3 linked regions of the Caenorhabditis elegans genome follow. The protein of the gene in region 2 interacts with the protein of the main gene of each other region in a pairwise test. Each region holds a gene or a part of one and is shown on either strand. Other genes may lie near its edges.

Region 1 (8,255 bases), on a different chromosome or scaffold from region 2:
CTCCTTTAATTTTATTCCATCGGAAAAATATTTTTCTCAAATAATTCTTGAGTTCCAAATTTTTATTAGTCAAATTTTACTAATAGTATAAAGATCGTGAACATTTTCACAATTCCAAAACCTCTTTCCACAACTTTTCGATCAACTTACTGCTTGCTGAGCAAAAACCATTTTACCAAAACACACGTTTGAAAAGGCTCAATAAGTTTTTTTTCTATCTCAAAGATCAAAATTCGCCGGAAGAAAAAGAGATACAGTACATATATTCCAACATATTTGTTCACGGACCCCTCTCCATCCACGTTTTTCTTCATCTTTTCTTGACTCCTCCGTAACAATTTGATAACACAACAAACACCGAGATGACCATTTTGCGCACCTTAGTGACTTAATGACTCAGTGGGTGTTGGGCTCAAAGTGCAAAAAATCGCCGATGCTCTTGCACGAGAGCAAGAAAAACCAGACTCTAGTGGATGGACATCAACAAAACGAAATGGTTATCGGGAGCAAAAAACCCCATCGCCGAGCTGGTGTGATTTATGCTGTCGTATTTTTTCCAACAGAAAGAAAAAGGTGAGAAGGTGCAAATAGACAAATGAAGGCGGAGTCGACGCCGCTCACCTCAAAATGTTTCATTACGGTATGTCCCTCTTCCGGGCGGCCGCCGTGCGGAAAATACGGGTACAAAGTACAAAATGATCATTTTCCTGCGCGGTAAGCATTTTGAATATGCCGTTTCTCTTATTTGACCCTCAAGCTGAAGAGGAGGAGAACAGAAGAGCGAGAGAGCAACATTTTTCGGGTACAAAGTACGGGGTGTCTCGGAATACACGATTAGCCATAATTTATTGACAGGGCAGAAAAGTCAACGAACGTGAATAGGTTTTTCGTAAGTAGTTCATATAGAGTTTTAAAATTTACAAAGAGGCGAACACCCGTCGAAAAATTCAGAGGAAAATTAATATATTTTCTAGACAAAAATTGTCTGATTTTTATAGTTTTTCATGCCGAGCTTCATCTCCTCCTTCTTATTTAATCCCACTTTATAATCTTCAAAAGCTATACCACCGCTATATAATAACTACACGACACATCGAAATTGTTAGTGACAACATGTGATATAGTCATAAGGATTAGCCATTTTTCAATAGACACAAATCCTATGATGCACTTGAATACAAAAATCAGAGGCAATGTACTATTTAGGAAAAGCTGTGTCTACACAGATGCTCACACTTCCACGTTTTACTTCGTTTTTGTAAATTTTTTTTTGAAAATGGTCATATAATAGAGTTGATGATATTGAGCGTAATCTGAATGATCTAGAAGAAATGACAGTAAGAAAAGAAGAAGCGGTTCGATGAACCGTTTGAAGGCATCTCTTATACGGTCCTTTGAGCGGAGAACGCTCATTATTCTGGAGGCGGAGGCGTGAAGTTGTCACATGGGGCGGATTTGTAAACGGTATGATAGTCACTCAGAGAATGGTTAAAAAGATTCGCGTGTGCGCGCGAGGGAAAAATCGAGAGAACATCCATTTATATCGATGAGCGAATCAATGTGATGAGTACTTTGGCAGAAAAATCATTCAAGAAGGTGATGGTTTGATGAAGGGTTCAAAAACTAACTCAAGTGATTGGATCACAAATGGGATCTAAATAAAACAATTAATCATGTCATGAACAACATAGAGAACATTCACCTAGAAAATTCTCAAAAACAAATAAAATTTCTAGTAGTGTGTCACGCCCAGCTAAGACGTACCTCCCGTACCTTCCAGGGCGTTCACCTGGCAAAAGACAGACAGGTGAGGAAAGTCTGGAGCATATAATAGCATGTATTTATAAAATTAGAATTAAATTGAAATGTAAGGAATTAAAACAAAAATGAATGAATAAATTGGCATAAACCAGAACAAATTTTAAACCTAATGAGCTGCTCAGTATAAAATTGGTAGTGGCAGATTCATCAGACTTCCAACAAAAAACATTGACGTCTGAATGAAAAGTGCACCGCAAAAAAATGTTCCACGTGACATCTGCAGGCAAAGGCACTCCCCCAGACACATCAGGACAGAAGATTTTAATCTTACGAAAATTGGAATTCTGAACTGACATGCTGTATTTTGGTTGAAAATTAGTGGTCTGATAAAAGTGATTAGAAGCATATTATAAAATCGAAAGGAATAAGGTAATTTATCGAAACTTTTGAAATACACACTATTGCGGAAATGACTATTTCTAAATTCAACGTTGGCCGAAGTCATTTGGGGAATCCCTTTTTTCTTTGAATGTCTAGACTCTTCATAAAATTCAATTCAACATGTGACATCATAAACAAGCAAAGATCTCTTCCATTTTTTACAAACGAATTGTTCTCAATATTTTTGTCATAAAAATGCGTATTTTGACTGCATACAGTTGATCTCTTCGACCTCTCTATCACAAAAATATAAAAAATCTGTGCGATCTTTAATCATCTCCATTTCTGATCTGTCGCGACGCCTTCTCCCACTACCATCTGTTTTGTTAATCACGATCTGACACGTGGTTACTTTAAGTGCATAGTTTGGAAAAAACAAATGTTTCAAGAAAATAGGAACCAATTTGTTGTAAATTCTCATCAGAATAGAATAAAATATAAAGCCATTAACCCTGACTTCTAGATTTCTTCCTCCGAAAATGTTCAAAAAATCACGTAGCAGGGACACATCGTATATTATCGTGTAGAGCGCCAATCCCCGAAAACCACAACATTCTGATCAAAATTAAAGATCAAAGCCTTTTTCTTCTTATTTATAGCAATGAGTTTTGGTTTCAACACGTTCAAATCCCCCTTTGAGCATTGAACAAATCAAAACGGAACTACATGATTTACGTCATTAAGCACGACTATTATTAAATTTTATAATAATAACATACATCAATCCAAGAACAAAAATTTCACGGCATGTAAAAAATGTCTTGCAAAAAGGCAAAGAAAGAAAGAGCAGTGAGAGTTTAGAGAAAAAGAGTCACAAAAATTTTGTGACCATTGAAGTTAACAAAAGATTTCAAACCAGAAGGTGTTCAAACGAATAATAATGATTGGAAAATTGTGTTTTTTTTTTGAAAAAAAAACTATTCACAGACGAGGAAAATTAAATAATAATGAGATTATTCAGAGAAAGAACTAAAGGACATGCTGGAAGATGATATCAAAAGTTCGTTTTCCACCAGTGCAAATGAAAAAGTATAAAATGACTTTCAAAAGTTTTAAAACTGCAGTGGTCCGTATCAAGTTTCATTTGACACTTACTAGTGAAGCTTAAGCTTTATTTCAAAATTTTTGAAGTTTGTGCTGTGGACTTTTTTTAAAACATGGAATTGAAATTTAGAAAATTTTGTGAATTTATAAATTATAACAATTACCTCTTTGACGGTGCATTCTGAGAGTAGTAGTTGTGCTCTTCAAAAATATAGCGATCTCTGATATAGTATGATCTATGGATTAGCCGAGAAGCAATCAGCACGAATAGAGAAATGTACAAAAAATGATTCGGCTGCTAATAGTGCAAGAACTGTTCACACTTTTAAAGAGGAGTCTCGCTCATTTTTTCCTACTGTCCATTCATATTGTGATCTGTTCCGAGCAGCATAAACTACAGTCAACTCTTCCATTTCTCATTGCGACGAACTTTGTTCCGATTGTTTGTTCCCATTAATTTTGCGCTCGCGCGGAGGAGTCTAGGAAAAAGAGAAATAAACAGAGGAAGAATAGGGGGAACAACGAACAATTTTTACTTTTTTGTTTTTAATTTAATCCTATCACTTGATAGGGAACCCTTCATTGCTGGTAAAAATAATTATAGTCGAGGAATACTTGCAAATCCTGCAATTTAATTATAGCTATCAAAATTTTTACTAATGTGAAACCTTTTGATCTTTTGATATCTCGCAAGTGATTATAGAAATATAAGGTTGAAATCAGTGCTTATAATCCGATTAAGATGATATTAATCATTTAAAATTTAGAAATATGTTTTGCTTACAAAAATCAAAATTGTCATAACAGGAAAAAAAAAATACATGAATCAAAAACTGTAAATTTATTTAAAGGCGAAACTGCATAAATATGGATTTCAAAAGATATTGTTTTAAAATATTCAAAATATAGTTTTTTCTTACATTTTGGCAGTTTGAATTTGGCAGATTATTATAACGTAGAAAGACAAGATATCAGAAAAAAATTCTTCGAAATTCTAGTTAATTTCTTTATTCTTTCATGTTTTCCATCTTCGTCATAAACTCCTCTAGGCTTTTGATTAGAATTTTTATTTCCTCCCTGGTCTCATATGTGTTTTTCTTCTAGTTCGTTGAGGCAGACAGGAATGCGTGTTATTTCAATGATCTTGTCATATAAGACCAGAAAAACAAGAGTACAGAAAACAGAAATAAGGATAGTAATTCGATGCAGAATATGTTAATTAGCAAAACTAAATTACCAATGAACAAAATGAACGCAAAACTATTATCACAAAAAAGAGAAAAAGGATGAAATAAAAGAATGATATGAAAACAGAGGACATGAAATGAAATGAAGTAATTCATGACATCATGAAAATTAGATAGGTTTGAAAGTCGAGATGACCCGTGGAGTTTCTATGGGCATAACTGCCCAAGTGGCAGACCCATTTCCACACAATTGTACTTTAAAGAATAGAAAAGAGAGGACGTGAGAGTATGGAGCAATGGGAGGTGAGCAACGAAACAACCGGCTGTGCGGAACAAAAAGTGAAAATGGGAGGGAAGGTGTGAAGAGCCACTGAATGAAAGATGTGTTCGGTTGGTAGGATCATTGAACAGATTATCAAGGAAAAAAGAAGGAAGTAGTTACTTGTATGCTTATGGCTGGTGCCAATTTTTACCGGCTTATCTGCGATAAAAGAAACAAAAGAAAAATTGTTGGTTTAATTTGAACTTTATTAAAGGCTACATTGGTAAAAACTTAATTAGGAAAAATACGAATAAAATATAAATTTAGTAAGCACCAGGATATGTACGCAACATTAAAGTTTGGTATTCAATCCTTGAGAAGAACAAAACATTTTAAGTTGGAATGTTTATTATTCACAGCCACAACTCATGTTTTCTATCAATTGAATACAATTGAATTTCTATAAGTCAATGTTAGCTAAAGTATGTTTAAAAGATTATAAAGTTATGGATATAGTCTGGTCAAGATGTTATATGATAGAGAAATCAACAAGAAGAGGAAAACATAAGAAGATAGGAAAAGGAAGCAATGAACAATTCGCAGGAGAAAAGGGAATCACTTACTTGATCTAGGGCCCATGATTTGTGACGATTTGATTCTGTGAAGAGGACACCTGTAAGACGAAACAGTTGGATATCACGGGAGGAGTAATTAATGAGAGAAAAGGCAATAAAAACATTATCAACAAACATACAAACTACACGTGTTTGAATTATTGAAGTATGATGGAAGAAAGAGGAAAATGAAAGCGAAAATGAATATTTTGGTTCTCAATTAACGAACACTACAACCTACAAAATTGATACACACGGAAACAACTAGATTGTATGATATCAAATATCCGGTTTGATTTCAAAGTTCAAATGTTTAAAAGGTAACCTTTTGGGTAGATAAACTCAAGCTTTAAATTTGCCATATGAGGTTGGTTCTGAAGACTATAACATCTTTGAGACAGAAACATACTTTACTTTCATTGTGGTTCTAGCCTCTAACAATAAGTACCTACATTTTTACAGTTTCCTTAAAATAATAATTTGGCTGCAAAAAATATTACTTGAGAGAAGAACAAAAATGAGATAACCGATAAATCCGTAGTCAATTCTGAACTACGCATATCAAAAACGTTTTGAAATCGGTATAAAATATCTAATCACCATTTTTTAGTTAAAATTGCGTACTAGAAAAGTCTGAAATATTTAATTTTAACATCAGTATCACTTTTTCTAACTACACACTACACAAATGCCGAAATTATTTGTGGTCATGGGGGAAGCAAAATATGCACAAATTTGAAATGTCGCATTAACTTTTTGAACTAACCGATAAGAAAACTACCTCAACTGATCAACAAAAACAAAGATATAAATACAGGCTTTTCATAATAATAGTTCTACGCAAGTACCAAATACAAAACCTGGTTGCATCTATGTAAAAAACAAAAAAAAATCATAATTTTAGGTGGCAAATCCATGAATGATATAACCTTTTGTTATTAAAAGAAATACAACATACTGAGTAGTTTCAAAAATTATTAAAAAGTCAAATTAAGGGAGAACTCATGAAAAATTAATTTTTAAGCTGTAAAAACGAAAGCCCATTAGGGATGACAATACAGAGACGAGAGCCCAAATTCTAAACCAACTGCAAAAGGCGACTTATTACTTTAACTCGGGTTAAATTTAGTTATGTAAATCTTATTATATTGAAAACTATTATGTTTCGTGACCCATGACCAACAACATTTTTCCATAATTTCTTTCTTCTCGCTAAACTGGGTATATCTCCGAGATTAATCTAAAAGAAAGTGCATATTTTAGGTCAACTCATCAGAAAGTCATCAGAAAGTCAAATCAGAACTACATATGTTCGTAGTGAACTTTTCTGCTTAATCTGAAACTTGACAACCATACCAAATAGGTGTTAAAGTAAAAGTAGGAAGCATGAAGATAAGTACGGCAGTATTCACACGGTACACACACCTGTCCTACAAGGTATACGGGAACCGAATCGTGCAAACACGTACATGGAGATGAAGATGAGAGACAGAGAAACCCGTAATGAATAGTGTACTGGAATGTAAAAGACGCAGACATTAAAGGGACGACTATTGAAACACGCGCTCGAAATGTTCTTTGCTCGCTGGTGGCGGACGGCGGGTGTGGAAAAAACGCGACTGGAGACACAAATTGGAACATTATTTTATCATTTTTCTTACGCACTCTGAATGAAGACCGCCTTTTTTGGGGACAGTCAGATGACTTTTTTGACACGTCATGAAGATTATCAGGGGCCAATTGGCTTAGGACGGAACAACAGCTAATTATTACATCAGTTCAAGGACTCTAAGCTAACATGTCAATGTCACGTGGTTGTTATCTTTTGCACCGGGATTTTTTTTTGATTTCTCGTCCGATGGTTTGGTTTGATGAACTCGTCGTTTTAATTGTTGACCTTTAAAATATAAGGACAATGTGATCTTTGGAAAAAAGGGAATACTCTCACACTTCTCGAGACTCGCTGCGTCTGGAAGCCCTCAAGTCAATTTTCAACTTCCTCTTATTTAGAAAAAGAAGTCGTCTCCAAAAATTACTCAACTCCAGCTCAAGTTGAAGTAGAATATCGAGAAAAAAATGAAACGTGAGAAGAAGAAAAAAGGAAAAAGGAAAAAACAATTTTCATGGCTCTCGCTCTTTCCCCATAAATGTGTGGAAATCAATTATGCATGTAGTAGCAATAGATGATTGAACTATCCTGTCTTGTTAGTTGGAACAAGAAAAACAACGTTTTAGACCAAAAAATCAACCCGTGCATGATCTTTGAATAAGTATTGCAAAGATAAAAGAAGGTGTCATATAACGTTAAAATACTTAGATTTGGTTTTGGAGGAAAATCTGGAAAATCTGAAAACATGCTCTACTTTTCTGAGCTTTTTTTGACTAATTGTAAGTAGAATGTAAAAAGACAATAATTCCACAAGATCACCTTCAATGTAAACTACTTTGAAATTAAGAACTCAAGATGGACTAATATTGAGGATTATCACATTTTCGTTAGTGATAAACCAAATTCGGTAATTCTCGACTAATAACAAATAACAAGATTATGCAAATCTAGGGGGCACAAATCACGGTTTTCAGGGAACAAGTATAGGGCTTATAAACTGAGAAATCTCAGAGGAGTTTAGTTTTCTCTTTTCAGAACACAATATGCTATAAAGTTAGATTTTTTAAATTATTTTAAGTTGCTACTATTTGAAAGAAAAAAACAAATTCTGAGCCTAATGTTGAGACCTGTGTGATTTGAAAGCAGAGACGTTAAATCGAATATTTAAAATTTATCTGATCTTTATTTAAAATAAACCCAATTTGTTATGTTGCTTTTCTGAAAATTTTAAAACTCAATCAATATTCTTGGGATGATTTTTTTGGAAATTCGGTAAAAAATTTACAGAAGTGTAGTCGCATCTGGATGCTGATCTTTAAATATTTTTTTGTGACTTC
Region 2 (8,933 bases):
TTTTTGAGGCATTTTGAGATTTCCAGAGGAGCTCGAAAAAAGTGAAATTGTATAATTTTTTTGCTGGGATTACGGTACTTTTGAAGAATTAGAACAAATACCGTACCTTGTTTCAACTTTTTTCTCTCGAAAAATTGGAATCTCATAGCGAGCCGAGTACTTCACTAACTGTAAGGTGTTTTTATTGTTTATTCTGTGGTATTATGTGATTTTTCCTTCACCGTCTCTTTCACTATTTCTATCTATGTATCATCACCATTCCCTCTCTCCGTTCTCCTCTTTCTCCTTCTTTCCGCGTGGCCTTCCGCGTCGCCCGCGCTGTGCGCATACACCCCTCCTTTCTCTGTCATCTCTCTTTTCTAAACACTATCTAGATTACTGCTGCCCCCCGTTCGGTGCCGCCTCCGCCCGCACTGCCGCCATACTCCCGAGAAGACGCGGTCTGACCCTTTATTCCCGCGTCCCCCCGTCCCTTTTCGCTACAATCGATACGTGGTGGGACCCTCTTCGTTTTTCAGTTTTTTTCATTATTTCTGTAGGATTGAACGTTATGAACACTTTTTTTAGCAACATAATATTACGGATGACCTATTTCTCAATTTTTGCACAACCTGCACAGTTTCAAAAAAAGGTTAAGTTAGCTCAAAAGCTGATTTCTTTTTTTTATAGCTGTAGGACCTAGAACGTGTGCCACACCCAAAAGCTCAGTTTCAGCAGTTTGTTTTCAAATTGGTGGTCTAAATAGATTTATAATAATCCATTGTCACCGAGCACCATAATAAAATACTCCAAATACTTTTTTAAAAAGATTTTTCAAAATTTCCAAAAAAATTAGGAATTTTTGTTTCACAACTTTTAAAAACAAATTTTAAAAAAATCGTATTGTTTTTTTAAATACTTTACATTTAATTTTGGAGGTTAATTTCCAACGGATCTAGATCAAAGTTGGGAGAGCAAGCTGGAATAGTATAATACTCGTAGAATAATTTTTTGAGTCTTTAAAACCTCCAATTGTCTTTCCCTCTTTTCGCTTAAAATGGCTGCCTATATACCTATAGGGTAGGCCTATTGGTTTCCTATGCCTGCTAGTAATACTTGAATCATTTTCCATTTACCTGTTAAACTTGCAAGAATTTTGAAATTCGTAGATCCAGATAAGTGCAAACATGGAGTTGACGCCAGAAAGCAGAAAGTAGGCGGTAGGCAGGCAGGTCAGCAGACAGGCATGAAGAGTACTAAAGCCTACTATAACTTACTAAACAAGCCGTAACCCGTAGGTTGAAATTTTTGACAATTTGATAAAAACTATATACCCTCTATGAGATGAGGTAAAAGGTGTACTGTAATTAGAGGATCGAGAAGTAAATTTAATGTTTCGAAATGCACAATTTAGTGAGTTTAGGTATTTTGACCATTTCCACAAAACTCTGAAATTTTGATAGCTCACAAAAATGATGTCTTTTAGCTTTAATCCGTTGGTGCCTAAAGATTAAAATTAAAATGATGTAACCAAGATAGGAATATTATTTTCAAGCTGAAATTTCTATCTGAGCCCTGTAAAACTGCTCCAAGAGATCTTTTTTGCAGACTTCTGTGATTTTAATAGACGAAGAGAAGTAGGCGAAAATTCCGAAAGCTTTAAGGAAATACATTTTTGAATCTGAAATTTTTTTGACTTCACTTGCGCGAGCAATAGATTCAAAAAACTTAGAACTTTAAAAAAAAAAATGAAAGTCTTCAAAAAATCTATCTTTTTTGGAGCCTGATGTTACATTGTCTTACTTTTCTTGTAAACTTGAAAAATCTAGATCTATAACCACTAAATTCAGTGAATATTTTCATTTTTCCCATCCATCACCTTTGTTTTTTGCCGTACTAGGTGGTGATGGTGACACGGGAATATGGAGAAAAAAGAGGCGTAGAAGAAGAAGAAGAAGCGGTGACGATAATAGGTACGTTGGTCTAAAGAAAAAGAGAGAAAGAGCTTGTTTGGGTGGTCTTCTTTTCTTTTTTTTCTGCTTCTACTCTCGCTCCCCCGTCCTTCTCTCACTCCACCACGAGCGCCTCTATTTTGACTGGCGCCGCGTCGGTCATCTGACTGCTTCTCTCTTTTTTTCATTCTTTTTCTCTTTTTCTCTCTATCCATCTTTTTTCGGCGCGCGCTTCTCCTGGCGCTTCTCGTGGGCTCTGGGAGTCAGGTCCCTTCTGCTTTTTGGCTCCGCTTCAACGGAGTCATTGAGCTCACGAAAAGGGCATTCCAAGTTGGTATTTTTTGGTTTAATATTTATATTTTCTAAAAATTTAATTATATTGTTATTCATATAGTTTTTTGTAAGCTTAAAAAATGATTGTTTTCGTTAGTATCTAACCACATTGTAATAATTGAATATTTAATTGTTTTTTCCGGTCAGGACTTTACATATTATTCATGTTAAGCTAACTTTACAGATAATCATAAGTTTATGAAATTAACAAGAAAAACCGCAAGTCTTGTACAATACTTTCGCAAGTTTAAGGGTCTGCAGACCGGCCTGGGCTTATGATTGCTCTTAGGATTAGGCTCAGGCTCAGGCTCAGGCTCAGGCTCAGGCTCAGGCTCAGGCTCATGATGAGGCCTAGGCTTAGGCTTAGTTCGTTTTTTTTCAGATTGTCTTGATTTCTTAAAATTCGCGTCATTAGACGAAATTCCCGCTAGGTATAGGCCGCCTCCGACTGCGTTTTTACTTTTTTGACCAATCTACCATCTAATTCTAGGGTTCTTTCATTATCTCTGTCACTTTTTCATTAAATTTGTATCTTTCAAAAGTGATGAATAACTGAGTTAAACCAACACAGCATGGCGCCAATAAATCGTCCGTCGCCGCGTCCTCCTCCCTCTCTCCTCCGCCGCGGCCGCTTCCCGACGCCATTCCGCATATATTTAGTGGATTCTACTGATGTGGAGCCAATGGAAACCGGGAGAGGGGAGAGGCTCCAAACCGGCGGACGGACCCCTGCTGCGACCAGCTGGCGCCTGGCGCGACCATTTTGTTCCCCCTCACTGCATCGTTTACTACTAGTGCAGTCTCTGTCAAAAGAGCACACTCTCTTCCATTTTTTATGTTTACAACAACTCGAAGAGGGCAATCTTAAACTATTCATTGGAATTTTGGAAAACATCGGAACATTATCTAAATATTTTTAAGAAGTCTACGAATTTTGAACTTTTTGAAAAAAAGCAATCTAGCAAAATATTTTCAACTAAATAACTTTTTATCATATGTTGAGGAGGTTTAGAAAGATTGAAAGCACTACAATTAGAGGTGAATTGGAATGTCCTTGTTTGCTCTCTGATTAAAAAAAATACAAGTTCTAGTAAAATAGTTTTGTAGATCCCAATCCAAACCAGAGAAAACTCATGATCTCACAATTTTGGAATAACCCTATCATATTTTTTCAATTCTCCGATGGTACCACTTCCTTTTCTTCTATTGCACCTAAATATTAATATTCCCTTTACTTTTGTTTTTTGTTCACCTTAATCGCAATTGTCACTTAATTCCTCTATTAGTACGCTTCTTGCATCTCTTGGATTTGTTATTCAAATGTTCTAAAACAATTGAGACATACCGTGTAGATAGTTTTGAATTCATCGTATTTTCCATTAATTTTCCTCTTTTCAGACCGCCTGTATGGTGGACACCATGATGAACACAAATACAGATGGTGTCACAGCGGTTCCTCCGATCTTTCCACTACCGTCGACGACACCAAACAGAAATAATAATAATGAACTGGCGATGTTGGCACAGAAGCAAATAGTCGCCGGATTACTGTTACAACAACCAACGATTGTGCAGGCAGCGGTGAATGGAACCAATTCGCAAAAACATTTGGCAGATATTGACTATACGAATGTTATTCAGGTGAGAGATGGGCTCTTTGTGGTTTTGACTCCTTGATTAATATATTGAGTTATAGATGTGAAATTGATTCTCTTGAAAGACTTTTTAGATATTCATGTTCGAGTAAGTCTATCTGTTATTTTTCAGACTCTTCAAGCCCTTGGCACTACAAATCTAAAAGCATTCTCTCTACTTCTTGATCCACAATCCCAAACATCTCAGTTAATATCTGAAGATACACGTCCATCTGCCAGCTCATCACCGTCTTCAACTGCAACTGCAGTATCTAACAGTGGACAATCAAACGCAACATCCACGTCATCATCGTCCACAGAACCCGAATATAAACCGAGAAATGTGCGAGAAAAAGTGTATGCAGATGGATATATCATGTCATTTGATAAGAAATCGTGTTGTGGAACTAAAGAATTTTGGAGATGTGAACGAAAGAATGATTGTAATGCAAGAATGCATTCAGATATCAATACACGAGAAATTGTGAGAAAGTTACATCCACATAATCATGAGAAACCGTCGCCCGAAGAACTTGCATTTTATGAGCAAGATTTCTCTACTCTCCATCCAAATTATTGTCATCCAGTGAAAAGTGTGAGTTTTTTTGAGCTAAAAGATTTATGGTGAATATTCAAAACTTGAAATATTCAAAATAGTTAGAAATAAAAAGTCGAGAAAGAACGAAAATGTATGTACGCCGAAACGTTATATGTATTTCGATTTTTACTAATCGCCCTGCTTGAACTTCCTCTAAAATGATAAATGTTAGACCAATCAGCGATTCGCTCCGCTCATTTTCCAACCAATCAGACGGAGTGGGCGGAGTTTAAAGACGCAGTGGGCGTGGATTTTCATCGCGGGGGGTTACAGGGAAACCAGCCAAAATAAAAAAGTTTTTTTTTAGTTTTCGGTAGATCCTGTAGGCAGGCAGGTAGGCACAACACTTATTGTTAATAAAACATTCGGATTATGTGTAACTGCTAATTTCATGTTTTTTGATTTAAGAATTCCAAAATTTCCCAATCTTTTTTAAATTGAAATCTTTTAGATCAACCGATCCTACATGCAACGAAAACTGAGCCGTGCCTCACATGTATCACAAGCTCTACCAATTGCTCCACAACAAATTAAAGCTGAACCAATGGAAGTTGACACGACAAATCAAACAATTCAAAACTTTCAACAAAACAATAATTTAATGCTTCTCGCCTCAATCAATGCAGCAGCAACTGCGGCTGCAGCTGCAACTTCTGCTGGAATAAGTCCGCCGGTTGTTGGACAGAAAAGAGTATCAACGACTGTGATGCCTATCACTTTGAAATCGGTTTGTTTTTCTTGAATAATTATGCTTTGTTCAAACATCATAAGGTTGGAACTTTTCAAAACTATAGGTTTGAGCCAGAAAAACGGAAATGAACTAAAAAAAATGATACGAATTTCTAAAATTCAGGGCCAAATTCGAAAATTTCGAACAACTTTGGAATTTCTTAATATTTTCAGCAACGCACAACTCCTAAAGAAGAAGAAGATTCATCTCAATTGATGTCACAAGAAGAATTCCGTATCACTTACGAATTGACCAAAAAGCTCATGGAAATGATGAAGCCAAAAACTGAAATTGGAGTTCGATGGCAAGGAGATGAAGGGTCAATTCTTTTGTTCTTATCACATGATAATGGAGCAGAAGAGAATGTCTTCTTTCCGGTGGTTGTCATGAATCGTGATGAGGTAAGTAATATAATTTCTGGAAGCCCGAAAGACTGAAAGCAGAAAACAATCAACAATTATTTCCTAAAAATTTATAATTTTCAGAAATCCCTAATCACTGCGTTAGAAGGATTCACTGGCAAACGTTGCGAAGGAAAACTTGCTCTGTGTTACTCACAGAGGGTTAATGTGCTTGTACATGAAGCGGTAAGCGAATCAATTTTCTAAGACTAGACATGAGCCCTGGTAGAGTTTTGCTACGTGGCGGTGAATATGAGAAAACTCTTCCACTTTTCGAAATTTAGCATTGATTATTTGTATTTGTTGTAGGGGAAGCTCGAAGACCTGTGGGAAAGCTCGAAGATTTTTTCGAAAGTTTGGCAGTTTGTCAAATTTATCCTACAAAAAATCTAAATCAAGTCATTTTTTTCTAAGCATTTCTGAACCTTTCAGCTAATCAGCAATTGGACACACGGAAAACTATTTCTCGTCAACACTGATGCACCGGCTCTCTGGCGTCTAACGCCCGTCGACGCTTTCGGCGAGCCTTTAAACCATGTCTAAGTGATCATTATTCAATTAATCGATAGTTTGGAGTCATGAAATTATAACTTGACCGACTGCAACGTTTCGCTGCACGCTACATTTTATTAGTTGTCATGAACCTATAATATCGAGCTCCCGGAGCAATCATATAATTACAAATTGTAAATTTTTTTTTAAATTTATTCCAGCCATTTTCCCCTCTCAATACCTCTCCCTTATCTTGTCTCTATAATCTTGTCTGTTTCTCAACAAAAAAGCTCGTCGTCAGGTCCCCCATTTCCGGATCTCATTGTGAACTTTTCAGAAAAGTTCGCAAATTTTCATATTCCTTGTCAATTCCAATCTCTATGTCTCCCTTTTATTGTGCTCTTTCCCCCTTATAAAATTACGGAAACCACCCTCTCCAACTCAGGAAAAAACCCCCTTTATATGCTCCTTTTCTTTTGATAAAATGATATCGTTCAACTAACAATTATCCCCTGATCACTTACATCAATAAATTGTTTCTATGAAATAAAAATATATATAAAGTGGACAATTGAACATGAATAAGTAAAAAATGTTGCTATAATGTCACCATTGTGTTCTAGCATTAGTATGTCTAAGTCCATGAAAAATTGAGTACCTAATCGTAGCAAAGAGATGAGAAATAACCAATTTTGTCATCAAGTTCCGAATTCATCAAAAAATATCACAAAAGAGCTCCAACATGCTCCAACAAATACTCATCAAATTTCGTGACATTTTTGTCGAGTTAGAATCTTCAAGAGCCGAATTAATAGATGTTGCTCCTCTAGTAAAAGTGAGTGTTTGTGTTTTATATGACAAAATTAGTGTTTTTTTAATTTTGAAAACTATTCTTACAGCTTGTCGATAAACTCGGAACACGGATGTTCAATTGTTAACTTTTCAGACTGGCGGTCCGCATAATTATGGGCCACCCTGTAGTAAGGGTCGGTCTAGACTCCAATTATACATTATCAAAAATATGTAGAAAGAACATGACGCTCATACAATTGTGGCTGTTACATTGACGATTACATCAAAAACGTTGCTAGGAAACAAATTGAAACGTTTTTTATCTTAAACAATAGAAAACATGTTAGCTAAATATCTGATCGAGACATAATTATTGCTTTAAGTGTGCGAAAATCAAGTTTTACTTGTCAAGATTGTTTTGACCATCTTGCAATTGTTCTTTAGAGATATGAGAGAAATAGTGCAGTTGTAAATTCGATCATTGCAACTGCAACAATCATTATCAAAATTGAATAGTGTTGATATCAAAATACATTGAAGATCCTTGAAAATTGAAGATTACACAGATGTAAGTCATTGATAAAAACTGCTTGGTTTGAAACAATGATTCAAGACTGATGATAGAAATTATTCCGAGAATTTCAGAAAAAGGTATGGCCGGAGAGTACCTTGACAGTAAGTTCGTGACTCAACTAATCGCTCAAAGCTCTATTTCAATTCCTTGGACCATTGCTTGAACCTTCTGAAAATAATATTTGTGGAGGTCAAACCGTACTGAATCATCGTATTCAATCGAGTTGTCAGCATAAGATCTGATACTTGTCTTAGTTTGAGAAGAATGAAAGAATTCATACAAACTTGCACACTCTCGCACGCGCAAAGCTTTTCAATTAACTTCAAACCTACGAAGTACGCACAAAAATGTTATCCTGTAAGCCTTCACGGTGACCTACGGCTGCTGGGAAGGCAGTCATGAGACAGGCACGTACGTCTGAATAGTTGATTTGACATGGAAGCTTATGTCGGTTTCTGTTTTCGTCAGAATGATCAGTTTCGATTTTAACACTTTGCTTTTACACTTTTTTCTCTTTCATTTCCAGCTTCTAATTCGAAAAAATATTTTATTATCGTTTGGGTGAACGTGTTTTCGCTATTTTTCTTGTTGGGTCTCGCCACGATCTCTATCATTTTAGCTTCTAAATAAACTTCAGAAAATCGTACATTTAATGTGGGAATTAAGATTTATCGGGATTTCACACTCTAAAAAGACAGAAATAGCAGTGAGATCCTGGTTTTACCCGCAATTAAAAAAAAGGCATTATTCATCAAAACCTATGGAAATTTTCGAAAAACGTCATCGAAAAAATAATTTCGAAATGTTCTGAATCTATGAATATTTTAAATCATTAAAAAAAAAATTCCACGTAGTTAGTAAAACCTTTTTGAAAGGTAAACTTACGCAGTCTGTGACAAAATTACTTCATTTTTCGCTTAACTTTATCAATAATACAATGGAAAATGAAAGGAGTCGCTTTAAAGCTGGTCCCTCGGGTTAATGCGACATCAAAAAATGGATGCCTTAAGGAGGTGGACAATGCAACGAAAATCAATTCAATATGTGAAAGTGCTCCGAACACAGCAAAGCTTCTGCACTCTTGCATCTTCCCGAAGATCCCAACAACTGTCTGTTCACAATATTCATTATCGCCACATAAGACTCATTTCGCGATGTTTATGGAAATGTGTGGAAGTGAGCTGACTGGAAGAATCAAGTTTAAATCAGACGAACAAGTCAAAAGTGTAATATGCCAAATCATTTTTTTCTTGGTCGCTGCTCGAAAGAAGAGTGGATACTCGCACAATGACTTCCACAAAAGAAACATTTTAATTAATGATACGAGAAAGGAGACAATTTGTTACAAAGTCGAAGGCACGGAGTATGTTTTGAAGACGAGTGGAGTTTGGGTAACTGTTATCGATTACGAGGGAAACACGTTCGATGGTTAGTTAATTTTTAAGGCT
Region 3 (7,326 bases), on a different chromosome or scaffold from region 2:
GACCTGATTCCTGTGATTTTTGAGATATCATAATAAAAATTGGGGAGCATAGGTTTTTCAACATTTGCTATCGAACTGCACTAGCACTTTTTCAAAAAATATTTTGAGAAGCTCCAAACCGCCAAATTGGAGGGGGGTGCTATAGAAGTTGGACGCACTGTATAATTATAATTATTTGGTGGCCCTGATAATTTATTTTATTAATAAATTATTAATAACATGTTTTGTTAGCAACTGAGATTTCAATTAAAATAATTATTTGGTCCAGCAAGTTGTCGGCCGCTCTAACTTTTTCCAGGGTGAAGCTGGTAAAAACTTGATAACTGCAAAACTGTAGAGTAGATCAAGAGCACCACTTTGTTAGTTTACAACATTTTCCTGAGCGCAATAGTTCTCGAGTTACACCTATTTGAAAACTCAGCAGCCAAAAACTTCCAACAGTCCTGTAAATCCATTACGCTCATATTGATCTGCTCTATAACAGCTGTGCAGCCGTTTTCAGTTGATATTTTGTGACGTCTGTCTGTTTTCAGTCGATATTTTGTGACGTCTGTCTGCAGAAACTCGAGATCTCAGTTTTCTCAGACAAATCTCGATGGATTGAAAGTTGAAAAGGTCTTGAATAGGGAGTTCACTGGGAACAATAATCTGGCTAAATACCTGCCATGTGTGGAAAAAATCAGTATAGTTGGCGGAAAGTCTGAATCGAAAAATGATTGGACAACATTTCACAACGTTTCTAACCTTGCGATCTTCTTCTCTGTGACTCTTAACGACCTACTATTGATGAACAATCCAGTGATTTCACTCCATGCTACCCCGTTATCCAATTCCAATTTGAAATTATTGATCAAGCTCTGGGTTAAAGGCTTTGAATCCAGACCTTGAACTTTTCATTTTCTACATTTACAATGATTATCCCCACTCTAGCCCAGAGCTACTAATGCCTAATTCAGCCGAGGAATCTGATGTTCATGGCATGCGTGCCTATCGAATTAAAAACATTCATGGAACTTTTTCTATTTGGAGGTTCTGATTTCTTTATTCCATCGTTTTTTCTAATCAACACTACTTCTATTTACGACGACGACGACGAGTTACTGTCAAACACCGTCCGACGATTGAAATCTTCAATTTTTTCCAGTTTTTGAGATTTTTTTCGAGTCTTTCGAATTAAGCTTATTTTCGAAACCTCTAACTTCTTATTTTTCTATGTTTTTGAACTTCACTTTTCAAAACTATATTTTTAAACTCCACAAAATATAACTATGTATATGTCTTATCAAAATACTTTATGAAATGCTAGATAAAAGTTTCTTGAATTCTTGACTTGACTTTTTCTGGTTTGGTCTGGTTCATGATTTGAATTTCTTCTGTAAGTCTTCAAATTTTCTCATCAATATAATATAAAGAAAACGTAAATTTATTTTTTGTACTGGCAAATAAAACTTTACAATTGAAAACAGAGAAAAAATAGTGGCCAAAAATCAGTTATTAGAAAAATGCAATTCATATTTGAAAACGAACAATTTTTAAACTTCAAGAACTCGCTTCAAGACCCGCTTCATCAGGAATGGGCTCATTTCATCAATGTTTCCAGCGATAATTGAGCGGACATCTTGGATGGTTTTGATGGTGTTGCAGCAGTGAATCTGGAAGATAAAATAAGGTTATATTCAGGTGCACGCACTTACCTCTAGTTTCTCCAACTTGTATCTAATTGCCAATTCCAATTTCTTTTTCCCGGACTTCTCGGACTCCTTGTAAAGAAATTTCTCGCATTTCCCAATAACCGCTCTAGAATCGTACATGTCAGCAAGTTGAAGGATTCCTTCGACGGTATTGTCTGAAATTTTTAAATTATTACCAATGTGAGCACTAAAAACTAACCATCAATCGAGTCCTCCAAATAGAGAACTTCCAAAAATGCCTGGAAGGCTTCCGGGTCTATCCCAGAGAGGGTAACCTCTGATTTCTTCGACTCGCCGAAACTGCCAAAGAACAAGGATTTGAAGTAGGAGCACTGCAGAGCGAGATGCTTTCTCAGAACATGAAATCTCTGCTCATCCACTACCAAAACCACATCGGACAGCTCTCCCATAGACTCATTGTCGAACTTCAAAACCGGATCTCTTCCCTTGAACCCAGAAGCGTTCAATATTTGAACATGAACTTTAAAGTGTAGCGCATCTTCAATCACAAAGTTTTTTGCGACTTTCTCCCAATCGGCAAACTGCTTCCATCCCCATGAGTTTTCCTTCGGCTTCTCACTATTGAAATTTACAGTGGCTGTTTTGCAGTGGGGAGATTCATTGGGAGATCTAAGCTTCACTTCAACATTCGCCTGAACTGACCAAATTGTGCCAAGTTGGTCGCAACTAAGATACACCTCAAGTTGATCAGTTCTTCGATTGACATGGAGTTTCCTGGAAATATAAAAATTTAAATAAAAAAAGGAAAGTTAAAAATACCATGGAATATAGTAATATTCTTTAACCTCGCTGCAATAAGTGGTATCCGGCTTGAAGTTGGAGATTGCTTTAATAGTGTAAGTTGACACAAATTCCTTTGTTATAACGAGCATGTCTACTAACCTACTAAATTGCAGAAAAATGACGAATAGGAAGACTTGTAGAGGCAGATTATGAGTGAATAACGCTAGGAGATAATCTTAGTGGATCGATAAAATAATGCATAATGCAGCGTCTCGTTTCCCGGCAAATTTGGCACAGTTGGCAGCTGGTCTTCCAAAAATGTTGTGAATTTTGTTAAAGATTACAATATTCCCCCCAAAGAAGGTGCATCGTCAATGGAGAAATTACTGAAAAAACTGAGATACTGAAAAACTCAATCAGCTCTACAATGTGCAATTACACACATTTCATAAATTCGTCGGCCCCGCTTCTCCAAAAGCCCCAACGTCATATGTGACGCAACTTCTCACAGCTTTCGAGGACACAGTCTTTGAACTTATGTACCTCTTTTTGCAACTACGCAAAAACATTTCTCACTCCCCTTCCTCCCTGCCCTCGGACAATCCGCAGAGATTTCTTCTGTGAAAATGAGTTTGTCATCACTAGACGCCGTATTGTCGCTTATTGCAACCTCTTCCACTTTGGATCAGGATTCTGCTAAGGTGCCCCAGTGTCAAGTTTGCAAAAGAAAGTTCGCGAATCAGGTTAGTTTTTGAAGTGAGCAAAAAAGTGTTGTTAATTTATCTTAATTTTACAAAATTTACTGTACAGCAGATAATCTTCCTTTTTTTGCTAGTTAGTATATAGAGCTCACTACCATTTTTCAGAAAACGCTGAGAACGCACATGAAGCACATTACGTGTAGGCCTGGACGTTCCAATGTGGTGAGTTTTTGAGAAAATGTTTAAGCCACTGAGCTTCTCCTCCTCCAACTATACGTTTTTTCAGGTCAATCACAAATTCAGATGTGAAAATTGTGAGAAACAATTCACCAACAAGCCAAACTTGAAGCGTCATCAAATAACTCACTCTGGTTCAAAATCCAAGAAGTGCAGCACTTGCCAGAGAACATTCTTCAGGGAAGATCAGGCAAGCAGATTTTATTCCATTTTTCCTGTTCAATTCCAGCAATTTGTAATTTTCAGCTTCAAAGGCACCTGCACAACCATCTCAAGGAAAGATCACATTTCGACTGTCCCGTGTTGAACTGTTCAATGCAGTTCGTATTCTATGAGGGCGTTGAAAATCATCTCGTAAACCATCACCACTTTTCATACAGCGAATCGGCTCCGTGTGGAAAATGCCACAAGTTATTCGGGAGTCCTAGGCATCTCCTGGTACACTACCATTTTGATCATAAAGAGGTGAAAAGCTTTATAATTCTTTAAGACTTAACAATCCTTTCAGGCTCTGCGCTCTTCGGCTCCTGCTCCCACAAGCTCCGCCAGACTGTCACCTATCACCGTATCAACTTCAGGAAGTCCCAGAGCTCAGTTGGCAATCTCGCCACAAGAGAAGCCGCCTCAAAAATTGAGCATAAATCTAGGAACTTCCCCGATGATCGAAGAATTCTGTGAACAGAACTCGGTATGTTTTCATTTTCAATATTGGTTTTGGTGCCGTTCTTTGAAACCATTAGACTTGAAATTTTCAGGCAACTCTTCCAAACACTGATCAACAGCTCTCACCAACTCTAAGCCCCAATGAGCCAAGGTTTAGAAATCTAATTACCAGTGAGCCAACCCCAAGCTTTGTAAGTTCTTAAGTTTCAAAGTACACTTTCATCAACTCAAAAGCTCTTCAGGAATGCAAGCACTGCACGATCAAGTTCCACGATGCCACAATGAGCATCATGCATAACGCCCTTCACGCGCCAGGAAGCCCATTCAAATGTGCAATTTGTGGAGCAGAATGTGGAAATAAGATCGTGTTCACCATGCACATCATCACTGCGAGTCATGATTTTGGTGGCATAGGAACTTAATTGATAAGATTCTACTGCTTAATTAATATTTTTTCTTGTTAAAAGTACTCAATGAATCTCGTTCTCGCCCTTGAAGGAAACTGATAATTGTTGATAACTACGGTAACCTACAGTACCCTATTCTATCGTGATCACTGATTTTATGGAGTAATCAAACAATTAGTTGGTCTTCAGAATACAGGACTGGTAGATCAAACTACGCATAGTTTCTTTTTCTATCTACATCTTCTTCACTCTCCTTCCCATTTGCTCTCTGCCAATACCGCGCGCCAAATCGATAATTGCGCCCCACCAAAACACTCTGCGCGGGTTCATTTATTCCTTCACCTCTACTCTCTTATCAATGGACCTGCCTGAAGCTCAAGCTCTTGTGCCAGTTTATTCTCAGGTACTGTAAAATTTTCACAAATTAATTAATAAAGGATCCATTTTTTTTCAGGAATTGCGCAAGGTGCAACAGTTCAAGTAATTACATTCTCAGAAATCTCTGAGCAATCACATACGGAACACCAAATGTGGACTTGGGCTGTCTTCTTACGAAGACGTTAGTGCTTAATAGATAGCGTTTGGCATCATAATCTATCTATCTCTATCTAACTCTATCTAACTTATCTATTTCAGAGGTACACCTGCGAATTCTGCGGATCGAAATACAATTACCAAAGAAGCCTGGTCAGTCATATGAAAAGTCATCTGGAAACTGAAACTGCCGCTTCTCCAGCTCCTATGCAGACCAACTATCTCACGTGTCCTATTGGTCAGTGCGAGATGAAGTTCAGTTCGCAAAAGATACTTCTCGAACATCTTTTCTGTCGCCACATAGGCCAGGTGCAAGAAGTGTAAAGCTCCGTTCGCCAGTGTTCAAGGACTCCTTGCTCATTTCAAAGAGAAACATTGTGGACTGAAGGTAGAATCAGCGACAACGTCAGCAGACGCCGCGCAGAACACTTTAGGGGAGTTATTGAATGCGATGGGAGCTTCTTTGTCAGCAGAAAGAATAGATGGTGGGCCAAGTCAGGAGCTCAGCAAGGAAACGGATTTGCAGGAAAGCTTGTTCATAGAGTCTTCAGCTTTAGCTTCAGCCAATGGATGGCCACAGCTTTCCGTTGATAGTCAAAGTTCGGGCACCAGTGGTTTCCCAACGAGAAGCAGGCTCTTCGAAGAAAAACCATTGACCTATATCAACATTGATTCTCTTCCCTCGTCTTTTAGCCTCACAACTATGGTAAGAGTTTAAATTGTATATTGAGCAAAATCTTTGGTTTTCAGGTATCTACTCCAGCTCAGTTGCTCAGCTCTTTTCCCGGTGTTGCGACAACGCCAGAAGCTTTTTTTGAAAACTGTGAAGGAAAGTTGTGGAATTCCTTGGAAGCTTCTTTGCCGTTGAAGATCAATGATGGAATGCCAAACCAGGAGTTCGAAAAGCAAGCGGATTCTCAGAAAAACTATGGATCACCACAGCTCAGCGGTGCCACCCTTGATGGTCAAGGCTCAGTGAGTTCAAGGCTCAGTGAGAGAAAGCTCAAGTACGCAAGTGATCTTCCGACAAGCAGTAATGTTTGTGAGCCAGCCAACTCATTGAGCTCGACGAGGCACCAAACTCTCACCGGTTCTAATGGGGTAAGGCCAGTAAGTTTAACTTCATGTAAAGAGCTTCTCCCTCTACAACAAACTTTTTCCAGGTTAATCGCCAATTCAAATGTGAAATCTGTGAGAAACAATTCGCCAACAAGCCAAACTTAAACCGCCATCGAAAAATTCATTCTGGAACAAAATCCAAGAAGTGCAACATTTGTCAACAAACGCTTCACAGAGAGAATAGGGTATGCTAACTAATTTCATTTTTATATACTTTTCAGAATTTTCAGCTACAAGAGCATCTGTACACACATCTCAAAGAACGATCTCATTTCGACTGCCCCATGCTGAACTGTTTTACGCAATTTCGGTCTCATTTGGAAATTCAACGTCATCTCGAGCACCACCACCTCGTTTCACCACACAATTTGGCTCCGTGTAGGAAATGTCGCAAGCACTTTGGAACTGCCAAGTATTTCCTGATTCATCACTATTATTATCATTCTACGGTGAGAAAAAACTATATAATGCTTCAAAACTAATACATCTTCTCAGGATCTGACCTCTTCGGCTCCAGCGTCAACTTGCTCAACCAGATGGTCACCTATGACCGTATCAACTTCAGAATCCAGCTCAACTTCAGAATCCAGCTCAGGAATGCCAACACTGCAAGATCCAATTCGACGATGCCCCAATGAGCCTGTTGCACAATGCCCTTCACGCTCCAGGAAGCCCATTCAAATGCTCATTTTGTGGAGCTGAGTGTGAAGATAATCTGGCGTTTACAATTCATATTGTTACTGCCAATCATAATTTTAGTGGACTTTAATTGATAATTTCGTACTGTTAAATAGTTATTTTTCGTAACGCCATTCAATAAATCTAGTTTTAGTTCTCGAGTGAAACTTAAAATTGATATATAATATGAAAAAAGGTTTTTCGGGCGCCCAAAAACTGCCGAATAGTCTTTTTTTGAAGCTTATTAGAAACTACACATATTTTCTTTCTTTCTCTGCGTCTCTCTTTCTGACCTCCCATTTGCCCTCCGCCAATACCGCGCGCTCAATCGATATTTGCCTCCAACACTCCATTCCGTAAAGGGGCATTCATAACCATTTAAATACTTTTTTCTTCTATCAATGGACCTGCCTGTAACCCCAGGTGCTCCCAATTTTGCTCAGTTGCTTGACCCAGTTCATTCTCAGGTAACTTTTTCCACGTTTGTTTTCAAAAGATTCAATTAAAATATTCAGGAGTTGGGCAAGTTTGTCTACCAATGCAAAGCGTGTA

What was found. The genes of interacting proteins can lie anywhere in the genome.
Region 1: the proteins of flh-2 (region 2) and nhr-21 interact in a two-hybrid assay, tested with the Caenorhabditis elegans proteins (one large-scale study listed by BioGRID).
Region 3: the proteins of flh-2 (region 2) and sdz-12 interact in a two-hybrid assay, tested with the Caenorhabditis elegans proteins (one large-scale study listed by BioGRID).

What each region holds. Positions count from the first base shown.
Region 1 is NC_003280.10:7,336,342-7,344,596, reverse strand, and holds the start of nhr-21 (NR LBD domain-containing protein), read right to left. Parts: upstream 5,369-8,255; 5' UTR 5,335-5,368; coding exon 5,319-5,334; intron 1-5,318.
Region 2 is NC_003281.10:4,948,462-4,957,394, forward strand, and holds flh-2 (FLYWCH transcription factor 2), read left to right. Parts: upstream 1-3,662; 5' UTR 3,663-3,671; coding exon 3,672-3,905; intron 3,906-4,031; coding exon 4,032-4,493; intron 4,494-4,947; coding exon 4,948-5,223; intron 5,224-5,399; coding exon 5,400-5,627; intron 5,628-5,711; coding exon 5,712-5,813; intron 5,814-6,059; coding exon 6,060-6,170; 3' UTR 6,171-6,710; downstream 6,711-8,933. Other genes in the region: C26E6.1 (Protein kinase domain-containing protein), read left to right, coding at 8,430-8,913. UniProt on the Caenorhabditis elegans protein: Probable transcription factor. May bind to the promoters of target genes, including micro-RNA genes, in order to repress expression, and acting redundantly with flh-1 and flh-3.
Region 3 is NC_003280.10:3,727,284-3,734,609, reverse strand, and holds sdz-12 (Zinc finger protein sdz-12), read left to right. Parts: upstream 1-2,786; 5' UTR 2,787-3,061; coding exon 3,062-3,178; intron 3,179-3,301; coding exon 3,302-3,358; intron 3,359-3,422; coding exon 3,423-3,563; intron 3,564-3,619; coding exon 3,620-3,838; intron 3,839-3,881; coding exon 3,882-4,061; intron 4,062-4,128; coding exon 4,129-4,227; intron 4,228-4,278; coding exon 4,279-4,458; downstream 4,459-7,326. Other genes in the region: bath-31 (BTB domain-containing protein), read right to left, coding at 1,533-1,652, 1,695-1,846, 1,891-2,426, 2,472-2,584; C46E10.8 (C2H2-type domain-containing protein), read left to right, coding at 7,176-7,241, 7,290-7,326. UniProt on the Caenorhabditis elegans protein: Together with ehn-3, may play a role in gonadogenesis.